Linked DNA regions of Lepisosteus oculatus. The protein of the gene in region 1 interacts with the protein of each later gene in a pairwise test. Links are inferred from orthologs where the notes say so. Each region holds a gene or a part of one and is shown in the gene's direction. Other genes may lie near its edges.

Region 1 (8,002 bases):
CGGCGTCGGTTTCCCGAAACTGACGAGCTGCATGAGACTGGACCCCAGCCCTGCACTTCCTGTGCACATTTTAATTTTGAGTTTGTTTTTACTGTAATTTTCATTTGCTTTTAATATTGCTTTTATGAATTTTGTGGGCCATTTTTTCACCTTGATGAACTACCGATTTCTCCTTCCTGTTGCATGGCTCATGCTGTCATGCTGGTGGCCCCTGCTGGACAGAGTCCATGTGCTGTTCGCTGGCAACACCCAGACCCCCTGAGTCAGTTCGGCCTGAACAGGCGTTCGGGGGATCAGCGAGGTGCGCTCCGTGGCTCGCCCTGGGCTGAGGCTGTGAGCTCGGCCCGCTAGGCACTGCGCCCTCAGCTGTTTGCTGGAACCTTAACATGGCCCCTCTGGCATAATTCTAGGGGAAAGAAATGTTTTTTCTGTGTTTTTCTTGCTGTCAAGCCCTCGTGGTTAAGAACTAGAAATGTTCAAAAACACCAGAAAAACATGGGTCTTTCCTGCTGACCTGGAGCTACTTTTTCTGTGAGATGTGACCCTCCCCCACGGCGTGGATGTTATTCGAGTCTGGCGGAGGAGCTGTAAGATAATGTCTATCTGTTTGTTACTTGTGTAGATTACCATGGAAACTGTGTAAAATGTTCTGGTGCGATGTGTGGGTGCTGCCCTGAGCTTCGGGCACAGTCCCCCGTCCTCCTGCCCCTCAGCAGGGTGAACACTGGTCACCGTCTGTCCCACCCGCTGTCCTCGCGCTGCTCGGCTCTGCACGTCTGCCAGAGGCGCTGCAGAACAGACACTCTCCTGGCGCCAGGCGGTGGCACAGGCAGTGGCCTGGGGGGGGCGATGGTGAGCCAAGCTGGCACCATCCAGGCGAGAGCTCCTGTTGATGTGGGGTTTGTGATGAGACATTTTGTAAGATAAATGACTTTTATTTGATCTTGTATAGGTATTTTGTCTGTTCTTGCCTTATTTGAAAAAATAAACTGAAACTGTTCCCTATTTGGTCTGCTTGTTGGTGTCATTTGTGAAGAAATGACCCCAGAGTCTTGCAGCAGACACCTGTCTGCACTGGGGGGTTAAATCACAGACATGGCTTTGGGGGATTCTTGTAAAGACAAAGGGATGTCGAGAAGATGTCGTCATCTTGAAGCCATTTTCGACAACGGACTGTACGGCACTGAACACTGGTGGGTCACCTGCGTGACGGCTGCAAGCATCTTTAAGCGCGCCCTCCGGTGGTGGGCATATGCAATGCCCGCTAATGATACACTTGAGGTCATTGTTTCAACTTAAGCGTAATGTTTCCAGTTTTTCTGCTGACGCCCGTCGATTAGGTGTCCTTTAATGGGCGATGTACTTTCAGCACAAATCTAACAACGCCTGAAAACGCGCGGTGCGGCGCACAGTATATAATTAAACATTGACATGAAAGGCGGGGTGCGTACTGCAGTGCGTAATTAAAACCCTTTGGTGTGCCGGCTGACATCCTCGGATGCCCTGGGCCGCTGGAACACAGACTGCGGTGATTCGACGGCGAAATCCTGGTTAAGTCACAGACCTAAAGGCCAGTGTCAGGGTTAATTAAAGAATTGTCATACAGAAGCACCTCTTGCTAAAGCCCTATGAATCACTGACGATGACTCATAAGATATATAGAAACGACTGATGAATTTACAGTGCTGTAAAAGCAGTAACAATAAACGCAGCTATCTGTGAGGCTCATGCTCTGTTCCCCTGACTGTGCCAGGAGATCATACACTGTAGTGGTCTGCAGCTGCATTTAGTTTCCTCGTTACGAGACTGAAGGCTGGTTCTGATGTCCGTTACGATGCACAGAGCAGGATGCGACCGCCGTCATAAAAGATCAGAAGAGCACATTCTTTGTGATTGTGGTGGTGGTTTTTTTTTTTTAGTGTCATTTCTAATGGAATCGGGTTCAGGATTAGGGCACCACGAGTTTGTAAGAGATGGGTGGCCTGACGTAGACTCCCTGACACCTGGTATCTGTGAGGACAGATAGAGAAGGGTCTGACTCAACACACAGCAATGCGGTTGTGTTTAGAGGAACGGGTCATCATGAATTCACCCCTTTAAAGATTACTAAGAAACTAAATAAAGCTCTTTTTTTTTGCTCAACAAAGAATAAAATTAATTGCTGCTGCAATCGCAATTGTAATATATATATATATAATTGGAAAGGTTATAGAAAAATATAAATTACTGTGTACACTTCATACTATTGGATATACACAACATTTAATTGAAATATATGATTTGTGTGTTCTCCCTGAAAGGTTAACACTTTGGTACACATACTGTAAAATTAGATTAATACATTGAATAACGTCACTGGAAACGTCTACAGTTCCCTGCAGGTGTTGAAATCCTACGGATTGCCCACATTGGATTGTACTGTACACGATTTTGTGAAATATGGTTCAAAGTTCACTGTATTTCAAGCAGTGAGATGGACATCATTAGTGTCCACCAGAGGGCGCCGCAGTGCGATATTACAATAGAGCGGTGTAGCTGAGGCATAAAGTAATAAGAACATAAGAAAACGTGTTACAATGAGAGGGGCCATTACGCCCATCTAGCCCCTTTGGTAGTTAGTAGTTAATTGATCAAGTATCTCAGCCGTAACTTGAAAGAAGCCAGGCTGTCAGTTTCAACACCATGGCTTTGTAGCTTGTCCCACACTCCCACCACCCTCTGTGTAAAGAAGAATAATAATAATGAAAAATTTTATTTTATATAGCGCCTCTAAAGGTGCCTTCTCAAAGCGCTTTACAGGATGACAACAACAATAAATAAGAAGACTACACAAGATAAAACACAATGACAGTATACAGAGGAGACCGTGGATGGGGGTAGTAAGAAGAGCAGAGGGGTGAAGAATGGAACAGTTCAGTGAAGACTCTTCTGAAGAAGAGGGTTTGGAGTCTGGATTTGCAGGAGTTTAGAGAAGGTGACTCTCTGATATCCTTGGGGAGAGAGTTCCAGAGCTTGGGGGCACAACAGGAGAAGGCCCTGTCGCCCATACAATGTAGACGGGCTGGGGGGACAGTTAGGAGACCCGAATTAGAGAGCGAAGGTTGCGAGATGGGGAGTAGGGCGATAATAGATCAGACAGGTACTGAGGTGCCAAGCCATGCAGAGCCTTATAGGTGAGCATAAGGATTTTAAAGTCTACATGGAATTTGACCGGAAGCCAGTGCAAGGACTCCAGGATAGGAGTAATGTGAACACTAGCAAGAAAGGGTAAGTTGGAGATGGGGCAAAAATTGTTAAGATTGTCGAGAGCCATGTTAGGCTTTTTTGGCACGGGGGTAATGGCAGAAGTAGATGGATCTAGCAGACTCTATAGTAACCTTATACTCAGATAAGTAATCTCTCCAAGCCTGATAATTTACAGAGCGTGAGGGGGAAGTGTTAGAAACAGGTAATTCTAGATTGAGGAGAATGGCTAAGTGGTCAGAGAGGCCTAGATCAAGGGGGGAGCAGTGGGAGACAAAAGAGTCATTTGCAATAATTAAATGCAAGGTGTGTCCTTTGTTATGTGTAGGGGTACAAACAAACTGAGTAAGATCAAAGGATCCCAATAGAGAAATTAAGTCTTTAACCAGACTGGAAGACCTTGAGTCAATGTGTATATTAAAGTCCCCTAGAATAAGGATCCTTTTAAATTTAAGGCATAAAAATGAGAGAAAATCAGCAAACTCACCTAAGAAGGCTTCACTGGGTTTCTAAGAACACGTGTTCTTAGTGTACTGCACTTCTACACTGTTTCCACAACTGTTCTCTGTTTTTTTGTTTATCTTTAAGAACTTCTCTGGTTTGACTGTCAGTGTCTTTAAGGATTCTGAATACCTGCCTCGAACCCATAATCCTTACCTGTACAATACTAAGTTCCTTCAGCCTTAAGCGCTTTGAGTGGAGTGTAAAGAAAAGTGTAAGGAATTAGTATTATAATTCTAGGCTTTTCACTTTATTTCCTGGCATTTTGTTCGTCTTTCATAATGACCTCCCCACACTGTCAAAGATTTAAAGTGTCAGCTTTAACACCTACGTCTTTCATAAGATCTTCCAGCTCAGTATTTCCCTTTGTGTATATTTAACGTTTACGTTTTTACTACCGGCGCTTTGTCTAAAGCAAACGTTATTCGTCAGCTACCTGGTCGGGTGTGGAAACGTGCCGTGATCTCGCTGTTAGTGCACAGGTTTTAGGACGAAGGTGTTTGAACGGACCGTCTATGGACAACACGATCAGAAAAGAACAAGTGCAGTTCAGTCATCCCGTCGCCAGGGGTCCTCACCCGAACACAACTGCTTTGACCGCAGCAGCAGTGGGGTATTGAAGAGGATAGACAACGACAGTTTGATTACCGTAAAACCAAGCAAACACACGTCTTCTTTCTGATCCCAACGCTTTGAAAGTATTTTATTGCGGTATTGCAGACCTTTTTTTTCTGAAGGAATGTGAGTCTACCGCTAGTGAAACCCTATAGGACCGCTGTGGGGACAATCTGAATTTATTAAAAACAAACAACAAAACAAATCAATTTAGAATTCAGAATTAATATTAAAATATTTCTTATGTGCACTTCTTGGCTAGTAGTAGTTCAGGAGGGTAGCTGCGTCAGCATGCGTAGGCTGCAAAGGAACGGTAATAGGTTTCTTCCATGCTGAAAAAGAGAAGACAGAAAACACAACGTTTCGATCGTGGAGCCGCTCACACCTGAAGAAGGCTCCACGGCCGAAACGTTGTGTTTTCATCTTCTCTTTTCAGCTTGGGATAAACCTATTACTTCTTGGCTGGTGTGTTCATAACGGCAAGAACAGGGCACGAAAAGCTCTGTGCGCTTCTACACGAAATGGGACGGTGTCCTGAGGTGGCGTGTGTTTACTCCCGTTACCTAGGCAACCGCGTGGGAGGCGGTGCTATGTGACGTCAGGAAAAGTGAAGCAACCAATCAGCGACAAAAAGGTGAAGGGACGACGTCACTGTGAGAGCAGGAGACCCGTTATTTGGGAAGAAACTGGACTGTAAAAAAAGGGCTTAGAACTTGTTTTTTTTTTTGTGAATTATTACTATTTTGAATGTCCACTGTTTTAACTTCCGTCCCCACAAGACAAGTCCCCCGGACCAGGCATCTTGGGTCGAGAGACAGCGGAGAGCGCCCCGGTGGGCTTCGGCAGAGACAGCCCTCCGATCCGGGACAGGGAGCGAGTCGCTGCGGCCGGCCGGGCTTGGTCTCTCCGCCCGGGAGTCGCCCCCTCACGCCCGGGGCCCGGTGACAGCCCGGCGATGTAAGTGACACACGGTGTCCCCCGATCAGCGCTGCCCCGCCGGCCAGCTCGCCAGGGGCTGCTGCTCCGGTGAAGCGCCGGTCGGTTCGTGTTACATCACGCGTTGTGTAACGCCATCCGCACCGGTTCGGCAGCGGGCCGTCCCCTCCGCGTCCGCTGCGGGACCAGGTTGTTACCGACTGTCTTTTTTTTGGGGGGGGGCAGTTATTCGCCTCGCGCCCCTCCGTCTGGCTCGTGGGCCGGTGGGTGCAGTTCCAGACAAGATTCCAGCTCTGGACGTCCCGTCGGCGCCAGGCCCTTTTGTGTCCATGTCCCGGACCGTCCCGTGCAAACTGTATGTGGGAGCCAGTACGTCATGGGAAATCTCACGGGCGAGAGGAGAGCCGTAAGCATTTTAGTTAGGTTTTTAGATCGCGGCAGCCTCATGAAAGCTGCGGTACAGAGTTTTGGGATATGCGCTGAGATCTGCACTGCCGGTGTCCTGTGCTGGCTTCGGTTAATAGCTGCATTGCCAGGGTGGTGGTGGCACCTCTGATCTTGTGAGAGTACGTCACGGGACGTCCCCGTGTAGATTGGTACGATCTTGGAATTGAAGGGGATGGGGGCTGATTGATCATTTGGTTGCTGGTGAATTCCGTTGGAAATAAAAGTCCCCACACTCTGCGTGAATCCTGTTTTGTTTTTGTTTTTTTTTCTAAATGGGTTAACACACACGCCTTTGTGGAAGTTTGTCCATTTGGGTGATTGTGAATTCAAAAACGGTTGTTTGTAACCCAGGGCTGTGGGGCAGAGTCCTTCTCAGTTTGATCCCTGACGCCACCAGGTTGTGCCACAGACCCGCCCCTCTGGGAGGGAGGCAGTGATGAAGTCTGAAGCCACAGCACCCACCGTGACAGTGTCTTCTCTGGCAGAAACTCAGGGTCAGAGGTCTCGCCCTCGTTCCCCCTTCAATACTGCATCTCCGCCCTCTCCAGTGGGATCACGCAAGGCTGCTCCCACACTGGCCAGGCGACCTGAGCCCTAGAATCCATGCTGGAGAGCTCCTGGTGTGGGCACAAATGGGTGTGGGGCACAGAGATCAGACTCCCAGTGCACAGTGGGGTGAGGGAGGACAGAGATCGGGCTCCCTGTGCACAGTGGGGTGAGGGGACAGAGATCGGGCTCCCTGTGCACAGTGGGGTGAGGGGACAGAGATCAGGCTCCCTCCTGTGCACAGTGGGGTGTGGGGCACAGAGATCGGGCTCCCAGTGCACAGTGGGGTGTGGGGGACAGAGATCGGGCTCCCAGTGCACAGTGGGGTGTGGGGGACAGAGATCGGGCTCCTCGTTCACAGTGGGGTGTGGGGGACAGAGATCAGGGTCCCTGTGCACAGTGGTGTGTGGGGGACAGAGATCGGGCTCCCAGTAAACATCAGGGTGAGGGGACAGATCAGGCTTGTAGCAGCTGCAGTCTGGTTTGTGTGAGCTCACATCACAGTGACGTGGACGACTGGTGCCAGGGACAGCAGACCCTTGGAGCAGACTTTGTGTGTCGTTAAAATAGTGTTGGAATATGTGCCTTACTGCCTGGTCAGCACAGTTTGCGCACATCGCCACGGTCCATCTGCCTCCTCTCCGGGGCCTCGTCCTGCCTTGGGCTTGTGTGGACTGCAGTGTGCACAGGCACATTTCTCTGCCTGTCCTGCATGTGTCCGAGGGGTATGGTGGGGAGTTGACCCGCTGGGGAACTGGCAGTTCTGACCTGGAGCGCGAAGCAGAAGCTATGGTGGACAGTTCAGAGAAAATGACAGTAAGAGGCTTCCGCTTTAAGAGAGCTGGAATGCAAGCGAGTGCTGAGTGACCTGAGAGGTCAGAGGCAAACGCTATATTTACCAGCCCTGTAACCTGATCCCAGCCCTTCTGGATTACAGCCTCTCCCAGCCTCTCCTCGCTGGGGCTCCAGCTCACAGCTGCTCCGAGGTCTGCCGCAGCAGGGATTCGACAGGCGTCTCTGCCGATCTGTCGCCGCTTTCCCATCCTGACGGCTCTCTCTGGCCTGGGCTGCTCCTCTTAGGCGTTTGTCTGTTTGCTCCAGTTATTCCTGAGAGCGGAGGAAGAGGCGGCGCCGTGTGCTGAGTGATTCCATTCACTCCCACTGTCCGCCGGCTTCTGGTGCAAGGTAACTGTGTTGTGTGGAGGAGACAGTGTGCGCGCCGAGAGGACAGTGTGCGCGCCGAGAGGACAGTGTGCGCGCCGAGAGGACAGTGTGCGCGCCGAGAGGACAGTGTGCGCGCCGAGAGGACAGTGTGCGCGCCGAGAGGACAGTGTGCGCGCCGAGAGGACAGTGTGCGCGCCGAGAGGACAGTGCTTGCGTGCGTGTGGAGGGGATAGCGCGTGTGAAGGTGGCAGTGCGTGTTGATGGGACAGCACATGTTCAGGTTAGGGACAGCGCGTGTGGCGGGGACAGCGCGTGTGGCGGGGACAGTGCGTGTGGCGGGGACAGTGCGTGTGGCGGGGACAGTGCATGTGAGGGGACAGTGTGCGTGTGGAGGGGACAGTGCACGTGTGTGGAGTGGACAGTGCATGTGGAAGGGACATGCGCGAATGTGGAGGGGACAGTGCGCGTGTGTGGAGTGGACAGTGCATGTGGAAGGGACATGCGCGAATGTGGAGGGGACAGTGCGCGTGTGTGGAGTGGACAGTGCATG
Region 2 (7,452 bases), on another chromosome or scaffold:
CTTCCCACTGATGGCTGCTGTGTGGGGTCTGTGAAGTGTTTTGAGTGGAGTGCTGTATAAATGTAAGGAATTATTTGGTTTGTAATTGTAAACAGACTAAGTTTAATTTTCATTCTTCTTATAGAAGTAGTAAACACTGCATAAAATCTTTTTAGCAAAGCATGCAGTGACTAATAACGTTGATTGATCATTGGATAATAACACCCCCAATCAATTTTTAGTAGTCGTGAGTGGTACTCAAAATACTTTCAACATATGTATAAAATAGGTATGTTTTTCAGAGTTTATGTTTAGTAATCTAATACATCTGACTGCTTAATTAAAAGTGATTTTTATTCTGGGAAAAGTAAAATCTGGACGCATTTGTAATCAATAGAGGGCAGCAAAGGATTTAAATGAGAGAAAATGTTGTTTGCCTTACTGGCATTTTAAAGATTATGAGCTGTCCTGGAAAATGGGTTTTGTAGGGGTGGTGAATGCGCAAACAGCACATTTTGCATATCAACCGTTTCTCAGTCATCCAGAATTAACAAACTTTTCTTTATGTTGTAAACTTGTAATTGCAGGGAACGTATTTTAAAGCATCACCTGTAAATACTGCTGCCAGGCCTCTGTCACGGTCAGTGCTATTAAACTAAAAAGGCTTTTTGGAGCCACTCCATGCATTGTGTAGAACTGCAAAATGTAACTTTTTACTTCTCAAGAAATTATAACAGTACTGGACACGTTTTTCATGATAAAAAGCCAAATGTTAAGGATGTGTTAAGGGACAGATAGACATGCTAGTAATCTTCACTATTACGTTTCGAGAATGTTACTGAAAAGTAGGAATTCATAGTTAAAAAAAGCAAAAATCGTTTAAGAAGCTTGTATGAAACAAAGCAATACTGCTATCTCCTCAACCCCGCCTTCATTATAAACACACCTCTGCCCTGCCTAATAAGGAGGTGGGAGGGGCAACGTGTTAGAAGGTGTGTCGACCTATAGCGGTCTGATTGGAGGACGTTTAGGGAGGGGCGTGGTCACTCGATCCCAAATCCTGTCTGAAACTCATTTCCTCCATTCTCGGAGACAGAGACTGTTAATCATATCTTTCTCCGCCTGTACTGATCTACTAAAATTACATTTTACTTCTGGCTACAAGGGAAAAAATCTTTGAACAGGAAAATAAAACCGCAGTTGGTTGACAGCTGTTGTTTATCCTTTGAGAATAAACTATAGATTTCCCTTTCGTTCGTTTTCTTTTTTTAATTGAACGCCGATTACGCCTCGTTTAGAGGGGCTAAAGGGGATTTATTCCGAGCATTGTTTAGGAAAGTACAGCGAGCAAATTCGCCGGTGTTTATTACAGTATACTGCAGCACGTTTGAAAAGCTCTACGCTGAATCGGAGGTTCCCTGAGGAGCGAAAGAACAGCTGTTACAACACTCACAATACAAACAACGAATGGCATTTTTACAGTGTTTTCTCAAGAGTATATAATGACTGAGTTCAAATCTAGGGCATTAACTCAAGTACTGCCACCTTCAGAGAGGAAAATAGAACATCAGCATAGAATACCACGCTAAATACACTACATATATTTGTCTGCTTCTGTATTATTAATCTATATTTCACACGGATAATGCTATTTTCTTTTCAAGATTCCTTCAGCATGGTGATGTGAACAATCGGGGTACCTTTCCATCATGTGGACTCACGCTGCGCTTCTGTCACGAAACCAGTCTTTACAGCGCAGTCAAGTCACAGGCTAGTGTGAGAGAGATCTCACCAGCTCTCATCATAAGTGGGGACATCTGTGCAACACTGTTTTTTTCTTGTCAGGTGGTTTAAGGACACAACATGTTGAGAAAAATCAGTTTTTATTTAATCCGTTAGAAAGACAGGTTTATAGTGAGACACACAGCATTATCCCCAGACCTGGATACAGCCAGTTTTCATAGCTGCTGGAGAATAGGGACTTTTTTAATGCCTGCATGTGGCACTTTCCCTGCCTGTCTGGTATGATATTTGCAGTCAGAAAATTTACTGTCACCGAGTCTTGGGAAAGCCAGGAATAAATCTCAAAATGGAGGGATTGAGCCAGACTCCTGGCTAATACAGTGTCTACTTGGGATTGATGTTCACATGTTATGCTTAATGCTATGAGACCCAGTTAGTTTGCAGTGGAATATTAATGGAAAACAGTGATTCAGTATGTATGATCAGGTCAGTCTGAAACTGGTATTTAGTTATATAGCACAAGTTGTAGAGAGCACATGTGAGTGTCCTTTCACATTAATTATATTTTAATTTGGTGTTTCCAACTCTTTGTCCTATTAACCTGTTGTTCAAACCAAACAACAAGAAAGACAAGCTTCTGAAAAGACTTGACAGTGTTAACTGAGAAAAAAGGGGATGTGAAAAATACCAAAAGAAGCTGAATTTGGCAATTTGTGCACCATCAGTGTCTTAGGATTTCACTTATATATTTGGCTTCAAGTTTTACAGAACACAGTTGTGTATACGGATAGATCACTTCAAAGTAGATCAAACACTCCCTTAGTAAACCAGAAGAAGCATATTGTGGGGGATTTTTATCTGGTCATCTTCCACTTTAATGGCAGGCTTTGGACTTGCCATGTTTCCGAAGTCTGACGGGCAGCTTGGTTGAATGGAGCTGCCGTGTGGGTTTGGGGGTGTCGGAGTCCCGAATGGGGGGCCGGCAGCACCGGCACATAGAAGACGAATGAAATCACCCGCAGAGCCGGGGGGCTTGAAGAAAGAGGGGCGTTCTCGCTTTCCTCCGGTCGCGTCAGCTGCTCTGCTGTCTGAGGATGAGCAATGGGTTTCATATTGGCCTCTTTAAAGCGGGAGATAAGAACAGAGTCTGTGATTCCTGTTAACGCTTCATGTCAAAGGATCCTAAAGCACTTTCCATTTAGGAGGGGATCCACTTCATCGACACATGGGAGCCCCTCTGCACCAGCAAGCCCACTAACCAGCAGATCAGGAGCAGACGTGAGCTGAGTTAAGAGAGAGCTCTAGATTGTGCGAGCCTGGGCATTTGAAGAATTTAAGCATCACACCAGTTACCCACTCAAAAAGTGCCATATGATCTCTTGGGATCAAGCTGTCAGTATCATGGTTTAACATCACAACCAAACGAAGGCACCTCCTATCTCAGTCACTGTACCGAGACATTGGTTTAGAAATTCTGACGGAGCAAAGAGCGCCACCTACCGGTCCACCAGCACCACTTGCAGTGGCAACAACCCGATTTCCTTGGAGGCTTTCTATCCCAGGCCCAGCCTCGATTAGCTCCTGAGATCTGATGGGATCAGGTGACACAGTGTCTGCTAACATCTCTGATCACAATTCACTCTAAAACAGGGCAGATCTGAATTCATTTAATTGTACAGCAATGAGCTGGGACATGAAGGGTCAATACCTGAGCTGACTTACCATCTGCTGTGTGGAGCTCAGTTTGACATTTCACATCCAAAGCAGTGCCTCTTACAGCATGCCCCCTTCATTAACTGCATATTGGCTTGAGTTTTTGTATTTTCTGTTTCAGTCCTCTCTTTCTTGTTTCCATTACTGACCTTACAGAGCTTCTGAGATCTGACAGGATCTTACACCAATGCAGGACAGCTGCTCATCTGGATATAAAAGACATCACCAAGGTGACACACATTCATTAAAGCCAAGTGGAAAGAAATCCGCACACAGAGTCACTATGGAGGAAAATAAATGCCTATTTAGGAATCCACTGCTCTCAGCAGTGTCTGTGCTGCCAGCTCTAGTTTATAAGGTGTAATACACTATTTCTTGATATATGCTCTTAACTGAGATGAGTTACTACTGCATTACTCTTAGCTTTGATATCCACATCCCATTGACAAGATATCTGAGGTGCACAATAATCAGAGTTGTGCTACAGAGTGTTGTGCTACAGACACAGAAAGGACTACTTTCTGCTATGACACTGATACAGCGAAGTCCAAGAGTTTTAAAACTTCTGTAATAGTATCCTATATGAGTCCATATATGTAATGTTTTCATCTGCAAGTTAAGTCCCCAAAGAAACTGAAATCAGTGGTGCACAGCTCCATTCCTGGCACGTCGCAGTGTCTCCAGATTCTATCCCACTCTGCTCTGAATGACCTAATTGGCCTAATCGTTAGTTTCACTGGACCAGTTTAACTCTTTTCGAAGATCTACCGAGGATTTAAAACGACCCAGAAAACCTGCTGGATTCTGGACACTAGAGGAATGGAATGGTGCACCTGTGGTTTAAATAAATGACAGCTCTTTAACAAAGGGAGCGGGGGCGTTCAGACCCGCAGAAAGCACAGAGGGGAGTTTTTTAAAAACAGAACACTAGGTTCGACAGCTTTAAGCGATGTGTCATTCCGCGTGTAACCAGCAGGTGGCGAACAAGATGGTTTAAAACCTAACTGGAGCAAGAACTGCCATCCAGAATGGGATTGTGGCAGCGTTCTCAGGACTGGAAGACACCATGAGCCCGCAGAAAAGTAGAGCTAGCCCGAAGGTTTGACAGTCGTCATTAAACAAACGCAAGAATAAACTCGTTTGTAGACTATTGCAACGCGGGAAGCTGAAATACAGAACATGAGTGTTAAATCATATGGTTAGCGGAGTGCAGAACGAGGAGAAAGAGGAACTTGGCAGTACAGACTCTGAGAGACAAAAGGACTGCAGTACAGGACGAAGCACCTTCCGAACTTGCAAATACAACGTTTGAGAACATTTTTTTTCCTTCTGAAAAGACTCATAATTGGCGATTCTTGCACAGCTTGATTCCGGGGGGCAAGCACAGCCAAGAACTCATCCCTCTTTTCATGCAGTGAAATTCCGGTGGAAATTTAAGAAGCATCCGGATCCGTAGACAAAAGAACGGGAAAGCCTGACAAAAAACCCTCTCATGACCAGCTAGAAAACGGGGCTGCACAGCATTGACATAAAAACAAAATCTACACAGGAGTAAAAACGAAATGGGGTGAGTTATGTTGTTATTATTTTTTAAAACTTAAAAAAAAAAATGTTGTTAATAGCAGAATGAGGGAAAAGTTAAGGATGGCGCTACATTGACCACATTGCTTCTATGTGGATATTTATAAATAAACTGATGTTTAAGAACATAGCCTCCTTCCAGTGTCTCTTCGCGGATTGACGAATACCAGCAATGCACGGAGAGTATCAGTTCATATTTGTTTTCCTCGCATTGGATGAATTTCTTTTGGGAGGGAAAAGTGCTTTTCTATGAGCTAGCTTCAGAACGTATCTTGACACGTTGCCCTTGGCGGCGTTTACGAAAGCATTCGTCTCGTGTTGCTGGATTAGTCTTTAAAAACCGCTGCGACAGTGGCTGGGTCTGATTTTTTACTTTCTTTAAACGCAAACAAACTTTGAAGCAGGACAGTCATGCTGTGGCTGTCAGTGGCGGAGCCCCCCCTTGATTTTACCGGTATGAAACTAATAAACGAAGTGCTAAAATGAAAATCTGGGACCTGTGCATGCTTTTAAATAATTACCCCCTCCCCCCAGCGCCAGACCTAAGCACATACTGTATGCAGTTAACGGGGCATGTAAGTATGGATCATTTATTTCGAAATATACGCTTTAAATCGGGGAAGCTAGTAAAATGTAGGAGGGATAAGGGAACAGGATTTAAAAGCAGCATAAAGGTTGGAGGAACGCCCTCCTACTATGTTGCAAGACAGCTGAAAAACCTACAGTATTTATGTCGCCCTCAAGTTATTCTGCTTAAGTGCTTTAAAAGAAACCTCTGTTGGGAAAACTTCGCGTCTTCAGAGCGTGGGAACACAGAGCTGAACATTCATATTTAATGAAACACAACTCGGGCGCAGAACCTTCACGCCAGGTGACATGACTGGAAAGACACTTGAGCGAGAACGTTCGCCAGCAGAAAGCCTGAGAGCTCCGCTGTGACCTTTCGCGGTCTCCAGGATTCCACGGGAGACAGTTCTGCGTGGGTTGCCCTGTCCTGTCGCGAGAGTTTTCGTCTATTAAAGCCACGTGGCAGAGACGATTTCGCCGTGCTGTTCGGAAGCATCGTGTTGCGTTCTAAAGTAACGATACCATCGGCGATTAGTAACATTTAATAGTAGCAGCGAATTGTGTAATTGGATCATAGGTGTTGTTACAATGTACAAAAGTGAGACAGTATTGGAAAGGATCTTTCGTGACAACTTGCATGTAATTGCACGGATATGTGGAGTAAATGTGCTCCGTCCACACACACACACCCGGCTTGATATAAGTAGGTTCACTTTCTTGTGCACTTTCTGTAAAACACGGGTGGGTGTGATTAGTCACGCACTGGAGCAACACAGTGGGACTCCTCTTGTGTTGCCTTTATGCCAAAGGAAAATTCTCCAGTTAGGACCAGCGCTCTTAAATAAAGAGAAGTTTCACCTAATCAGACGATCTTCTGAAATTCTCTGAAAATGTTTTCAGTAGCTGCATCAGGTGTCGTCTCTATTGTTCCTGAAGTTGGTTAGGGTGGAATAAGAAATAAGGTTCATGCCCTGGTATTGACTTGGACACTTCTTCTGAGTGGCTCTGTATGCTCTAGAGCAGAGCTGAAACACTATTCTCTGCTCTCTATCAGATATTGGCATGAAAATCTGGAGAATTTCTATAACCGCCTTCCCGCATGTGTTGTCCTATTGTTTGTGTCTTGCTGGGTATTACTAGGTTGTAATCAGTGACCAGATATTGCTGTAGAAAATGTTCTTTCGCTGTGACCTTGTCTGTCTGCAGCTGCTGCTGGTTATCCAGCTTTCTGATGGAGTTGCATGCTCTTATCCTGTCACTTACACCTTTTTTCCCCTTTTCTCTTTCTGCTGTAGAAAAGGAGCTCTTCCTAGCCTGTAACAATGTATCCACTACACAGAGAAAGGTACTAGTAACGTCCTTCGTGTGTGTTGTGTGTTGTGTGTGTGCGTGCCTCTGTGCTCAGTCAGGTAGTTGCAGGCTGTCCTGCCTGGGAGGTTGGGGTTGGGTGGGGTATTTCAATAAACACATCTTGAAAAGGAAGGTCCTTTAACTTCTGCTCTCCAAAGAACCCCAGTGTGTATTACCCAGGGGTTGTGGTCAGTTGTGATTCATATCCTGGGAAAAAGTTTGCAATAGTCACTTCGTTATGACCTACATTATTTAGTGACTGGTTCTACGGATGGCATTGCAATTACTCGTCTGCAATGGAACAGACCACAATAAAAAACTGTAGAGCAGTTGATCGTGGACATTATGCCAAGTAAATAGTTTATAACCAGTGGGTTTATTTAACATGAGTTCTGTGGCAGAAAGGCCATTGGACACTAATATATGGCTCCAGTGTTGTCTCTTATAGTGGCTGGCAGGAAACTGTCAAGCCCCTTGTGACTTTTATTGAGACGATTTTCTCTGATACAGAGGCAGGGA
Region 3 (7,275 bases), on another chromosome or scaffold:
AAAAAAACGGATTTTGCTGGAAATAGAGGACGAACAGAAATATATGTTGTCATCTGCTCTGTTCAGTGGTCTTGTAAGGACATCCCAACCTTGACTTCAGCTTATGACTTTGCATTAAAGGCTCAGTATGAATGTGACAAAGTCTTATGCTGCAAATGGTCCACGTATATTTATAGGCATATATGATGCTCTATAAAAGATCAGAGATCCTGACAGACTTGATAGGAATGCAGTCCGGGTTTCTCTTCTTCCTAAAACTTAGTACTGTATATCCATCTTAAACCTGCACACAGAATTTAAGCAACACCAAAGCAGGGTATCCAGATGATTATCACCAACCATCTCTGTTTATTTCCATTAACGTATCTGCTACCTTCTTACACATGTTCTGGAAGTGCCCTGTGGTAAGAGTCCTTGTAGGCGTGTCTCTAATGTACTGTACCTCTGGATCATGCTGCTATGCCACCAAGCCCTCAACCTCTCCTTCTCAAGAAGGATTCACAATCTGCCAGGAATCTTCAGATGCAGTGGTTTTAGTTTGTGCTTTTATTTGCAGCCACAAAATTTCATTTCGTGAGGTTAGTTTGAGACTGTGATTTACTTTAACCAATACTAAGACTATGTTACCTAAACTGAACCTTTTTACAGGCTCAGCAGTCAAGAATATGATGGAAATATTCAGCATCCTTAAAGACTTCCAACACAGTCAACCCAACCGACTCCTTCAGATCGCACTGTGAAACACAGACCAAAGGTTACAAGTGGACACTACTTGGAAGTCCATTTAAGAACAACAACTGGGGGTACATCTTTCATAAAGGGTTGGGGGAGAATGGAACAAGCTAACCAACCACGTTGTTGAAACCAGTACCCTGGCTTTGTTTAATAAATGCCTAACTACCACCTGCACAAGATAGGCTGAATGAATGACTCCTTTTATTTGTACCTAATTCTTATGTTCTTAACATAACAGTGTTATGAATGGAAAAGTGGGTTCCGTTCATTTGCAAAAATTGTTCTTATGGACAGATGTAGAACTGGAACAAGAAAGTGTGGTAGCAAGGAATTCTCCATGGGAGCAACAATCCAAAGACGCTAGCTGATGGTGAGAACAGGAGGATGGTTTTATTCGCTAGCAAGACTGGGCAATGGAGACGATACTAAGTCATGGGAGTATAGGAAAAGCTAGCCAGACCTGTTGTTGAAGCAGATACCCTGACTTAATTTAAGAAATGGTTAAATAAAATCCTCAGGTCAACTAATTAACAGGATAGATGGGAATGCCCTCCTTTTATAACCAAGATGATCTGGCAGGAAGAGTGCACCGAAAACAGTAAAATTTAAACATTTAGGCTTCTGTTGGTTATAAAACAGGTTTACAGCAAAGTGGCAAGAATAAAATAACCATATATATCAGATGGGAATTCCAATCATTTATAAATGAGGATATAAATCTATGTTTTTTTTCTTAATCCACAAATTAACAGACTTATAGCTTTGCTTTTATTCGACACTACAGCATAAAATGTTGGTGTTCTCCCTAGATAACTAACTGATTAATTGTGCAATAAAAAAGATAATGAAAGAAAGACTTGTAGCCACATTCTTATTTGGGCCAGCCCTGGCAAAAATTAGTGTGAGCACCTATTGGCACAGTCACAAGAACATTGTCTAGAAGAGAATCCGTGTGACATTATTTCAACATCTAGAAGAGAGAAATAGATGGAGAATGTTGGGTGATGTACTGAAGCCCTTTATTGTCATGTAACATTCCTCAGATATTAACACAGATTACTGTACTTGAAAAACAGGCAGATTGGGAGCTGTCCATCATACAATGGTGCTGAAATCTGCTGACATACTGTACTGTAGTTTGTGTATTAAAAAGGCTGGATGAAATAAAAATGAAAGAAAACCGCATGCCAAGAGGTAGACATTTGGATTCTGGTTACATTCTTGTTAACAATCAGAAAAATATTCTGAAAGACCACTAGATAAAGATATGTACATAACTGAAACATGTTATGTAACAATACTATAAAACGAAATGGTAATGTGAGAAACCTGATTTTAAGTTCTGTAAGTGATTTTAAAGTGATCTACATAAAGGAAGAAAATGTTGGTTTAAGGTCATGGAAAGGCACAGCATGTTTTAGTTTTATAATATTCCAAACATGGTCTGAAAGCAATGTTCCCCAGACCTAGGGTTGTAATAATCCTTATTACTACCCTGGCAATTTGTATTCCTGGACTCTTTATGATATATTTTTTTTACTGAGCTATTTATTTCAATAGATTAGTAAGGCAACAATTTATTAAACAGGTTGAGAATCACCTAGCATAAAATGCCGCATTTACTGAGCATCTTTAAACCTTTAAAAGCCAGTATATATCTGAAACCAAAAGCCCACAGCTGACAACAATTAAAAAATACAATCAATACAACAACTCAAAACAAACTTTACAGAAAGGATAAAGATTAATTAGAGTAGAAAAATGAAGGTTCAGTTGCAATAGAATAGAAATAAAAAAATTAAAATTAAATTCAGGATGTCCTAAGGTTTCTTTATTGAAGGGGACCCAGCCTTATGTCATCTTAATTTTTGTAACATTTACTGAGAGCTGTATTGAAGGAAATAATTATTTAGTCTTCTAGGCAGACTTCAAAATCCACTCTCGAGTTGTAATGTAGTTCAAACCAAAAGCACTAAAGTTGGGTTAAGGCATCTCTGCTTAAAAAACAATCAATCAATAGCCACATCCTTAAATCTAATTCCAGCTCTAATGCCACTGATCCAGTTACACACACTGGTTTCAGTTTAAATCTCCTCAAGGCCAGTAAAGCCATAAGGATTGTTCTATGAAGGCAGATAAATTATTCAAAATAAATGTTTTTTTTGCCATTCACTAGAATGATGTGGCCTGCTTTCTCGTAACTAAATTCTATGAGGTTTATTCTCAATTTATCAATCTTCCTGTCTAGTCTTAAAAGTAATCTTTATAAGCCAAAGCCAACCTTTATTTTATCGTTACCTTTATTTACATGACCTTTCAAAACAAGAACATATTCGTCAGATTCAAGCAGTGATTCTGGAGCCCTAACCTCCAAGAGTTTTGTTTTGAGAGCTGGTGGCTTTTCTGCTACCAGAAAGAACCTCTACATGTAACCATTTTTTAACCCTGAATACATAGTTATAACAAATTCGGCCAGTCAAAGGTACTGTAAAAATGTTGCTCTAGAAATAAATTACAGTGGAGTTTGGTTGTATCATTAACATACTACAATGAAGGTTCATCAGCCTTTAAATCTGTTATAAACTGTCAACAAAAGAAAAAACTATATTCCTTTTAACTTATGTCTTGCATTAGTCAAAGGCATCAAAGCTTTTATAGATCTCTTTTACTCTTTCTTTAGCACAGGTTTGGTAAAAAGCACACTTGTTACAGGCTCTCTCAAGAATAATAAACCTTCACAGCATGGGATATCATGGGAGTCTAGTTCCTTCTTCCATTGAGTCCAGGTGTTCCCACTTTTGAGAGATTGGTCTAGTATAGGCACGGCCCTGAAAGGTTCACTAAATGCTCTTCAGAGCAGAACTAGATATGTCATCTTTCTAGTGCAGACTGCTGTGTGATCTGCGTAGAAAACAATTTTCAACCAGTACAGGATTTGCTATATGGGCATTTTCCATGCCAAATGACAATCTGCAGAAACAACTCAGTGTGCTACCATCCTCTTCTGAACTAGTCTAGTAAACTCACTATCACAGATTCTGTGCTAATTTATAAAATGAAGAATTTAGCTTTTAGTCATCGAACGAGGTACGTTGATTGAATGTGAGAACACACTATTCCTTTCACGAACCAAAAAAGTAGCACAGAAAATGTTAACTCTGCTGGCATTTCACCTACGGTATATTTAGTATTGTTCCAGAAACCATACTAATGTACTCTGAATAGTCAGTGTAGTGGGTTTGAATAGACCTGTTTAGTACATCTGTATAGACATCTGTAGCACACAAAAGCAAATCCTGGTGTTTAATGACATCAGTCATTAAATGTGCTGGATTTGTAGACAGAATGTGACCAGAAAAACGCCTTTCAAAACATCAATTGTCAGCCTTCTTTACAATGCCCTGTAAAATGTGGTAGGAGTAGCTTTAAAAGAAAATCATGTACTGGCTTGAGGCTTTAACCTCGATAGAAAACCAAGAATGTTATACCCAGCTACCCAGTTTGTTAGGCAGTCCTAGACTTGAATATATTACCATTGATCCCTGGAGCATAAACAGACCTGACAGGACCTAGCAGAGGAGAGAGAGCCAAGAGGAGGGGAGGGCCACTGCTGATTCAAACTGGATTAAATAGGTAACCTGTGCTGCTGTAAAATGGCTCTGTTACCGCTGTCACAACTCGCGCGGAATTAGAGCAGAGAGGGAACAAAGCCTTCAGAGCCAACGTACTGTACATGTAGGTGCTGCAGGAACAGGCAGCAGGGACATGTCTTCTGTTTTGTATCCTGGGGAGCATGGTATCCCCAAAGAAATCCTTCTGGTTTGGCTGCAGAAGCAGGAGCAGCTCCATCAAGGTGAGTCTGGCCTGATTGGGTCGGTGAGTTCTCACTCAGCAAAGTTCTTATGCTTCAGCAGTGCGTACAGTACCTCACATCTGTCAGTCTGCACAATGATGACCTGTGTGCCGAGGAAACACACCAAGAATGTCCAGACTTAGCCTTCTTGTTTTCTGTGTGGCCTTTCAAGCTGTGTCATCTGCAATTCTTTTGGTTTAGAATGGTAGAAATAACACAGACAGATTAAAGTGCAACACCACCACTCAAGCCAAAAAAGTAAAGATGGCCAGACAAGAACTGTTATTTTTGCTTGTTAGGCAAGATAAAGTAACTTCACCGACTGAAACATACTGTAGTACAAGGTCCAGTCCAATGTATTAGCCAGGTTAAGTGGCCTTTATCATCTCCTGGACTGTTGGACTTTGTGCTATTTTTAAATCAATGTGTTTTCAAAAATTAGATCTGTGAGTGTTGCACTTCTTTGCTTCTGTTTAGGATGTAAATGCAGAGTAGTTACTGACCTGTAATCAATTACTCCTGGTTAGGATGCATGTTAAATGGAAAAGGTTCACTGGTAATGTGCTGTATTTTAAATGTTTCAGTAAAGACAAAAATGGGCTTTTTGTTAGGTACCTGTATTTCACTGAAAAAGAAAAGGCAACCATAAAATTGTCCAAAGAAACAAAATTAAAAAAGAATGGGGGTTTGGGATCAGTGTGGTAATCTCGAGTCCGTCTCATATATTATTTTAAGGAAACCTCACATTGAGGCTAGGAGAATGTCAACTGAAGAGGAGAAGGAAGTTTTGTTTTGTGACAGACAACACAGTACAACCACATTGAAATAGAATTCCACAGCTAGCATTGTACATGTCCCTGACATTGCACACTCCCAGCATCCAGTCATAAAACACTATTCACATTTTCTGCAAGGGAACAAGTATGATTTATGACTGTAAGAAATAAAAAAAATCAATATTGAGGTGAGTGAGTTCCGATCTTTAAGCACTATGGAATCTTAAAAGATAAATAGGACAGATTGTACAAGAAGAAAACAGTATTCTCCATGCCAAGCTATTTTGTTACTGAAAAATATATAATTCTCACACTTAACGATTTTTTTACTCTTGAGTTGGCTTGGGGTCCCAGTGTGAATCCATGGTTCATAACCTATGACCAGACAGGCTTTGCATTTGGCTGGACGCTCAGTGAAGATCTGCTAGGAGCTGAACACCTACTTCCTTTGACTGGTGTTAATTTTGAGCTCTCATCTTTGCAGAGGCCTTGGGAGTAACCCAATGCTTGCAATGTCCAAAAAACTTCCATGAGAAATTATTTGGTGCACACTGCTCTGTTTTATTGCAACAGTCAGCCAAGGTCTCAACTCAGATGATCTTGTCAACTTTATTGGTCCTTACTGCCCGCTGCTTTTATTCAAAGTGACTTACATTTATACTGGGGGGTATTTTACAGAAGCAGTCTGTACATCCAAACTAAGCGTCATTTTCAAGGGACTCCTGAACGGTACTCAAACTTATCCGACTGCTTTACTACTAAAATGTTTATTGGCTTGGGGTAATGTTATACACTATACAGTATACCTGTAATACATATTTAACTTATAGCCCTGCCTAATGTTCACAAGCGTTATTTTGCATAGTCTTGTCAATAACAATTTACAATCTAAAATTTGATTCAAGTGGTATTGCCTGCAAATTTACTTTTACAGTTACTTTATTTGACGCCATTTAAAAAAAAAGAGATCCTTTTTGTAAGCAAATGACCACATTGCAACAGCATGGGACACCTCGCAAACAAAATCGTACAGATGCTACATCTCATTCATTGGTGTTTACGACGCCAGACAACAGGCTCAAAACACGAGCAGTGCCTTCTGAGCAGCTCTCCAGTGCCTGACTTTTTCTTGCTGGTTAATAGGATTCCAATTGGCTTTAAGCCTTTCAAAACCTGTTTAAAAATTTCCAGTAAGCGGAGAAAGAAGCAACGGTAAATGGATTAAGTGGTTTGTCTGATATCTTAATTGTTCTTATTTAAAGATATCTTTTATCAAATGGGTGTGTTAAAGGTTATTGAAATTTCAGTTAGTATCTGCTTGTATAGGTGATGTCCAATGGATGGTTCCTTGTATGATTCAGAGGAAAGTATTTGTGGTAGTTATACCTCATTTTTGCAGTAAGTTCTATAGTTTTAATGGGGATTTATTTTACTACTGTACATTTATTGCAAGAAGAACTACTGACTTTGGGTACCCTTTTCTTTCTTTGATGATTTTGTATTCTGAACAACACTGGCATAGGCCAGAAGCTCATTGTAAATGTTTTTTTTCCTGGATATTATCATCATTATCATCAACAACACAGGCATTCATCACGATTGTGTATTATGTAAGCATACTCTATGCAAGGTTCAGTCTGAAAGCCCTCCATCTTTTCTTTGGCCTTGGGTAAAGGCTAAGTTCACTGGAACAGAGGTACAGGCTCATGCACCAGAGATTAATGACCTGATTTTGTAAACTGGCATTGCCAGTTTTCAGGCCACTGATTTGTAAACCCCATTATTTAATTCCAAATGTCGTGCATATTAAGATCCCATTTTCCACAAGCATCTGCTTGTGTCCACCTCTCTGAAGTCAGTAACTTTTCCACTAACAACTGCACAACTACTCAGGTCAATAAGATATGGTAC
Region 4 (7,230 bases), on another chromosome or scaffold:
AGAGTCCTCTGAATGTCAAATTAGAGGCTTCAAGGTGCAGATTTCTACTGCACACGTGGAGCAGCCCAAGGATAACAATGTACTGTAATTGTCCGCGCTTGAAAAAGCAAAAACATTAAACTGCTGAGTTAATGACTTGTGTTGGTCTCAGGAAGACTGAACTTTTGTGGTATACTTTGTTTCCTAAACCATGTATTATGTTGTTTTAGTGTAGGTTAAGGGAGAGAGGGTGTGAAGCTCAGTTTGGGGATAGCGTTATAACGGGGATTAAAGGGGAACTGCAGTCGCAATTTCTCCAAGAGGTTATTAAATCTCGGTAACAATTAATTAATTACTTACTTAATTGATTAATTGACGGTATTGCACAATTTGACAAATTCAGAATTAAGCACACTGGAAATACCTCACCGGAAATTTTGTTGTCTCATTCTGAATCACAGACTACAACGGCAATACAGCGCTGCACATATGTGGAACTTTTGTCTATTTTGTGATGTAAATTGGAGGTTTAACAAGTTACTGTGCACGTTTTACTTTCATTCTGTTTGAAATCCACTCACCAGTGGTGATTCTTTCTGACCCCAAAATATGAAAATAGCTTTTCAGTGCCCATTAAGGATGGGCCAGTTTACCTCCCAGTATGTCTGTGGCCTGTGGGAGGAAACTGGAGCACCTGGTGGAAACTCATGCTGACACAGGGAGAACATGCAAACTCCACACAGACAGCAGTCTGGGAATTGAACCCAGGGCCCCAGCACTGTGAGACAGCAATGCTAACCAATGTGCCAATCTTGTTTAAAAAAACTGCTCGTGATTTTCTTTTGAGAAATAAAACAAGATGAGGTACAGTGTACTTCATTACTGCCATTGTCACTATTTAAATGACATTGTTAACAGAAACAAGTATATCATGAATCATAAGCATCAAGGAAGAAGACTTGTTTTTACACAAAGGATCTGCTTTCTGATTAGGACAGAAAATGCCTGTCACTATCACTTCACTGAATTCCCCTTCAATATCAACCGGAGAAGACAGTTTGCACGTTCAAGGGTCATAGGAAGCATTCAAGACTAGAAAGACTGGGTAAAGAAAAATTAAGACAAAATGAAAAAATACGATTTTTTATTTCACAGCCGTTTTCTATCAAAATAGATACCACCAGATGTGTACGCCTCGAACAATAAACATTTAAACACCCAAGGATTTATTTAAAAAAATCTTTTGAATAATTTACCAAAAAAAAAGCCCTAATTTATAGTAATATTACATCGCTATTGTTTAATTAAATAAAAGCGGAATTGTAATTAAGTACATTGCCATCATAACTTGGTCAACTTCACAGAACGAGCGATGATTACGACAGACACTGAAACGGATATTTCTCAATAAGACAGACAATGAAATACTGAAGGAAGTGCAATGAGTGGTTTCATCCTGTCCGATTCTTAAGTGGAATATTACCCAAGACGGAGTTTTTTTTTTAAATCTCAATATGTCCACTTTGTATCTAATCCCATAACCAGATAAATCAACTGAAAAGAAAATCACGTTTATGACCACACGTTTATACACACTTTACTGGAGCAAAAGGTTGTTTGAAGGTACAGCATGAACGAATTTACTTCTTAGTGCCTTTGGCCGTCATTAGATGCACCTTTTTGCATGTGCTAACGGGGAAAGAACGAGCAAACACTTGTATAGTGACTTTCACAGCAATCAGGCTTTACAGCTTTACGGCTTTCAAGGGAAATCGGCGCATCAGAATAGGATGTGATGTTAGTGGAGGACGCAGCGGTGGGGGAATTGAAAACGTGAGCTATCTCCACATTGTACATTGAATAACCGCTATCACCACAGCCGCCACGATTGCCGCAACGAGACACGTAAGCACCCATCGCGCTGTGGCGCACGTTAGTCTACTTCGCCTTCTTGGGACGGGAATCACGGTGGTCACTGCCGTCACGCTGACCGCGTCCTCGTCCGCCATGGGCCGGCCCTGGCTGGTGATTGTGAAAATCTGGAGGGTGGGGGCAGGGCCGGGCGGTCGGGAGCTGACCCTTCTCGACGAAGCCCTCCGGAAGAACCACACGGCTCGGCTGGCTCCGCTGTCACCGGCCCGCGGGGGGGCGCGGCCGGCGGCGTGGCGGGCCGGTGATGGCGGCGGAAGGGGGTGATGGAAAGGGGGTACCGGAGGAGGAGGAGAGAGGGTAACTTCCAAAATCTGCGCGTCCTTCCTGGCGCTCTTGACCTTCACAACGTCCTCCCCCTGTTCGGTGAGGAACGTCAGGTGCCTGCACATGGGGCAGATGATGTGCCTGGTGATGTGCCCACTTCTGTTGGCGCCGACCAGAGTCTTGACCAGACAGTCGTGGCAAAAGCCGTGTCCGCAGCTCAGAGTCCTTTTGTTGTCCTTAAGGGTCTCGTAGCACACGGGACACTCGTCACTGCCGGCCCCCGTGCTGTTATCCCCTGTAGACATGCCTGCCGTTTCCCACTTCACTCCCCCAGGAGGTGACTGCAGTCAGAGCGCATTACAGATCACCCCGCATCCCAAGCGATTCTCCTCCAACATCGAAAGAATGCCCCGACTTCCAGCTCCACTACAGTATGTCCTTCTCAGAGCCCTGTTCAGCCCTGCGCTCGCCTCATCCTGAGCCCTGATTGTCTTTTAACTGATTGTCACCAGTGTGGTGAAGCGATACGCTCCCGATCCAATATTGTGTCAACAAGCCGGTTATCTTAATTCACACACGACATCGAGCGCCTTCGTGACCGCCAAGGTGCGCCCACAGATTCCTTTACATTGGACGATCAAAAGGCTGAAAAACCGGATTGTCTTTGGACTTTTTGTTTTACTTGAATTCAATAAATTACTTATAAAACAGCCCTTATGAAAAATACTTATATGTTTATACATAAACGAAGTCTGATTTCTGCAGAGCATTTTGATGTTCTGATGTAGGTCATCTATAGGTTAAGGGACAACACTATATATTTGTTTATACAGCACATTCCCCGGAATTATCACGAGTTAGGTGGAATAGATACCTGACCACGTTTTTTGTTTTCCCCTGTAGAGGTAACACAGGTAACACAGCTGAGTGAAAGGAGTTCTGAAACTCGGAAATAAGCGTATACGGTTGATAGCACTTACGCAACATTTTCAAAATACTGAAAGCAAACGTAAAATCATAAATATAAAATCGCGATCAATGAATCTGTTATTAAGAACTTTGTCCCTTTGTTAAGAGACAAAACACTAAAAGACCCGGCTCTCACAGCACTAGATTTGTCACTATTTTAAAACGGTATTTATTGTTAATAGGGTAATTAGCCACTTTGGGACTAATTGAGAGGCACTGTGGCTGTGATTAATTGGCTCTTGTTGGACGGTGTTACTTTTTCTGTAAACTTTTGTTTTGATAACCACTTCTAAAGTGATAGAAACTTTTACTTGTTTTCTTGTGTAATTTAATATGTAGTACATGCAATACGTTGTTTGGGAAAAAAAGAACACCAGATAGTGTATTTCCCCTTTTTTTCTTTTTTTTTTACACGAGTCGGGCATTTGGCGGCTGCAGATCTTCCACCAGTCGGCGCACGACGATAAAAAAGAAACGAAACATTGGAAAAATACGGCTGTTTAATTTGGGTGCCGATTTTTAGGTAGACATAGGTGCGTGACATTGCTAAATTAATTTCTAAATGAACGGGCTCTCCATTCGTTTAATTGTATAAAGCATTTAAGTTCTACGATTTTTATTAAGTTGCTAAAAATGACATTCATACGTGTAAAAAAAAGAATTCTCACGACTCAAGAAAAAATGTGTGGCTGTAGTCATAGCATTAAAAAAAAGTATCAAATGATATTTCCAAGAAATCTGAGTAATCCTTGAATTCCAATCGGTGTGCAGTTGCGTCACCCGGAGGGAAGGCCGTGCGCGTCTGTGACGTCACGTCGTGCCGGAAGTTGCGTGACCCCGGTGGAGAGGGGCTGGAGAGCCGAGATTCAGTTACTAAACAGAGAGGAGACAGGGGATGTGCTGAGACCCAGACGCCCAGAGGGATACGGGCCGGCGATGTTCAGGTAAGGACTAGTCTCCACGCTCCGAAAATGCCGAGCAGGGTTTGAAGCGGCGTGTATTTTACGCGGAATGGCTGCGGTTCGACGGGGGGAAGGCGACGCCGTCGTTGTTGACAGCCGACTTCTGTCTGACGTGTCATGTTTCTAGGCAGCAACTTGAAATTCCCACTTGCACAAAGATCGTATCTGTGGCTGGCTTGAAAATATGTCACCGAGATTAGAAAAAAAATGGTGCGGTCTGCTCTAGGTCTTGTATGGAGTAAAGGGCCGTTTTTGGAGACGTCAGGTAGCTCTTCGGGTATGTATTTTTAACTTGTTACTCTAAACAACTTGCGCTTCACCTAGTGTGACTCGAGCTGTATGTTCTTTTGCCCGTAGATGCGTGTCCGTTTGTCACTTTTCCAAAAGCTTTGGTTTTTACAAATTGTTGACTCGTAATTGTGAGCTAACGAGGTTAGCTCCGTTCATTTCAAAAGGGACGATGCTAAATTAGCTTATTCAAATCGTTTTTTGTAGGTTGTTAGACTGTCATTGCTTGAGATGGGCTGTGTACTTTCCTCGGACACGACTGTTATATGTTAGCCTCTTAGCTTTTTTTAATGTTCTCCAGTCTTTTCCAATGAAGACTCACCAATGGTACCGGTTTTTGATTCTCGGGTGCGGCTTGTCCCATATTACGTTTCTCGGGCTTGAACTGCAAGAGGGTCAGTCTAACCTCTGATGCTCCCGCCCTTCATCCGTGTTCATTGGCTGGGATCAGGATGTGACGTATACATTTCGGTTTTAATTGGGTAACATGACTGCCACTCAAACGGCCCTGCTGTGTGCAAGTTCCCCACGCTTGACAGAAATAAACCCATGAAATGTAGGATTTATCAATCACGTTTTTTTTTTTACAAAACTCTCTATATATCACATATCGCGTAAAGATGACACTTTCGTAATGCAAACCGTTGTCACAGATAAACAGAGCTGTCCTCTCTCTTGTTCGTTGATTCTAGACAGTCCACAACGTTGAACTGGAATATTCAGACTGAAGGAAGTGTTTTTAAAATTCTTATGTCATTCCTGTGGTTTATTTGAAGTAGCGTCTGTTTAAGCCTTCGATAGTGTGTATGAGTTCAGCACAGTAAATTTAAATTGGTATTCTTTCATATTAATAATGCTTGAATAAGAAGGTGACATTTCACATAAGTTTATCAATTTACATTGATAGGTTGTTTACCTTTTTACAACTGACCTAAATGTGAACTATTTATAGAATCATGGGAACATGGTTTTTGATGAAATGTCAGCCAGGAGATGACCTCCACATGATGTCTTTTAAGTTTTAATTTCCAGCAAGTTGAATCTCTTCCAGTTTGTTGTATGGACTTTTATTATTGGGTGAATCGTTAAATAAAAAGGAGAATGAAATATATTCTTTTTGGTCTTAAGGCTGAGGAGTGAAATTTTGGTTTTCAGGACTCTTTACTGCTTCCTGAGTGGGAAGTTACTGTTTTTACTTTCGCACTTTAACGTTAATCAACTTGCTATTGCCCTGGTGAATGGGCATAAATTGGTAAAAGAATGTATCGGGCTGACACGGTTGTCCAAAACAGCAGATATTTGCACCCATTTATACATCTGTGTGTTTTACTGGAGAGGCTGAAACAAGTCCCGATCTCTAACCATTGCTCCATACTGCTGCACTAAGTACATAAACAAGCACGGCACTGCTGGCCTGGCAGGGATCGAACCCACGTCCTGGGTGTTATTAGTACCACATGTTGACCAGCTACTGTTTTATCTCTCAGGACGTCTTGTTTCTCACAGCAGGATGGACTACATCATGTGTTAACCTAGGAGAGGGGTGGGTGAGAGAAGTTTGCAGAAGCATCTCATTTGTCCAATATCTTCCTTGCGGCTTCACCGCAGTGACTCAACTTGGCCCTGTTAAGACGGAGGGAGAGAAAAGGCATAAATTGCTTTCTACCATATTAATGACATCCAGATGGGCTGGGGTGGCTAGAATATGTGCTGGCAGAGGTCGTGCTGGTTTTACTGGAGGTGACGCAATAGTTAGATCATGAGAATCTGTAAACGTGGACTTTGGTTTGTTGCTTTAACTTTCGTTGTAGTCTCCTGAATGAGTTCATGTTCTCTTATGCAGGGTGTTCTTCTAATCTAGCTTTTTGTATGTGTGGTATCCTAATGAGATTTTATATTTAAAATAGACTTATGTATAGAATGTGTCCTGTAGTGAAAATGTATATACCACATAATTGCTGTACTCTTTCTTGCCATTTATTATTCTTTGGGCTTCTTCTGTCCTCACTGTCTGAAGGTAAACATTTAAACAGTCCCGAGTGTCAATTTCTGTATTGCATTACACATAGTTTCACTTTTTTAAACTGTCTAAATAAAGCTTTGCTCTCATGTTTATCTTGTGGGTGAATTCATAACACTGCTTTAAATGTGATTTGGGTTTGTGATCCCTATAACATCAAGAAGTAGTAAGTCAGTCTTCATGGCTTTGATTTTCTAGTATGTCCGTAGCTCACCTATCAACCAGTTTCTCCTTACACAGTGCATTATAAAGACGTGTATTTATTGAGAAAATCCTGCTGGTTCATCTTAAGTCATGAATGCAAACCACCAAAGTCCCTGTATCTTATAACCAATCTAACATAGTTGGTATTGACAAGTTCCCCAATTAGTTTATACTTTACTGGATTATTATATATTATGTTAAAATGCTTGGAAATTGAAATTCTTACCTGAACTGCCTATAACGTTGAACAGGGAAAGTGTGTTAAAATCAGTCATTGATTTGGCAGAATCCAGTGTTTTTGTTTATTAGTGTAGAATGTCCAAAAAAACAGAATGTCGTTACTTGGTTATCATAACAATAGCACTGTGAAATAGTAACTTCTATTCATATATATATAATTTTTGTACTTGAGAATATAGAAGTCCAAGTGTTGTCCACTGAGAAAGGGGAGTGAATCAGAACATCTGAGGTAATAGTGTCCTGTCCAGGTCCTGGAGCACCGCAGTGCCTGTGGGTTTGTGACCCAGCTGGGCTCTTAACCTCCGTTAGCAGCTTAGCTGGACTAGCTTGACTTTTCAGGTGTTGGTCATTTTTAAGACTCACTAAGATCAT

The links.
Region 2: the proteins of usp2a (region 1) and homer protein homolog 3 interact in binary tests that used the Homo sapiens proteins (3 or more experiments, as listed by UniProt). The two-hybrid records come from large-scale screens. The link is inferred for Lepisosteus oculatus from reciprocal best matches to the Homo sapiens genes USP2 and HOMER3.
Region 3: the proteins of usp2a (region 1) and lhx4 interact in binary tests that used the Homo sapiens proteins (3 or more experiments, as listed by UniProt). The two-hybrid records come from large-scale screens. The link is inferred for Lepisosteus oculatus from reciprocal best matches to the Homo sapiens genes USP2 and LHX4.
Region 4: the proteins of usp2a (region 1) and ndel1b interact in binary tests that used the Homo sapiens proteins (3 or more experiments, as listed by UniProt). The two-hybrid records come from large-scale screens. The link is inferred for Lepisosteus oculatus from reciprocal best matches to the Homo sapiens genes USP2 and NDEL1.

The regions. Positions count from the first base shown.
Region 1 is NC_090718.1:14,956,601-14,964,602, reverse strand, and holds the start of usp2a (ubiquitin carboxyl-terminal hydrolase 2a), read left to right. Parts: upstream 1-4,994; 5' UTR 4,995-5,316; intron 5,317-7,225; exon of another isoform or gene 7,226-7,389; 5' UTR 7,390-7,473; intron 7,474-8,002. UniProt on the Homo sapiens protein: Hydrolase that deubiquitinates polyubiquitinated target proteins such as MDM2, MDM4 and CCND1. Isoform 1 and isoform 4 possess both ubiquitin-specific peptidase and isopeptidase activities.
Region 2 is NC_090724.1:3,910,936-3,918,387, forward strand, and holds the start of homer protein homolog 3, read left to right. Parts: upstream 1-4,436; 5' UTR 4,437-4,997; coding exon of another isoform or gene 4,998-5,002; intron 5,003-5,379; exon of another isoform or gene 5,380-5,591; intron 5,592-6,878; 5' UTR 6,879-6,905; coding exon 6,906-6,928; intron 6,929-7,452. UniProt on the Homo sapiens protein: Postsynaptic density scaffolding protein. Binds and cross-links cytoplasmic regions of GRM1, GRM5, ITPR1, DNM3, RYR1, RYR2, SHANK1 and SHANK3.
Region 3 is NC_090704.1:26,256,389-26,263,663, reverse strand, and holds the start of lhx4 (LIM/homeobox protein Lhx4), read left to right. Parts: upstream 1-4,275; 5' UTR 4,276-4,500; coding exon 4,501-4,588; intron 4,589-7,275. UniProt on the Homo sapiens protein: May play a critical role in the development of respiratory control mechanisms and in the normal growth and maturation of the lung. Binds preferentially to methylated DNA.
Region 4 is NC_090704.1:43,782,967-43,790,196, forward strand, and holds the start of ndel1b (nuclear distribution protein nudE-like 1-B), read left to right. Parts: upstream 1-4,224; 5' UTR 4,225-4,313; coding exon 4,314-4,383; intron 4,384-7,230. Other genes in the region: RING finger protein 222, read right to left, coding at 1,818-2,480. UniProt on the Homo sapiens protein: Required for organization of the cellular microtubule array and microtubule anchoring at the centrosome. May regulate microtubule organization at least in part by targeting the microtubule severing protein KATNA1 to the centrosome.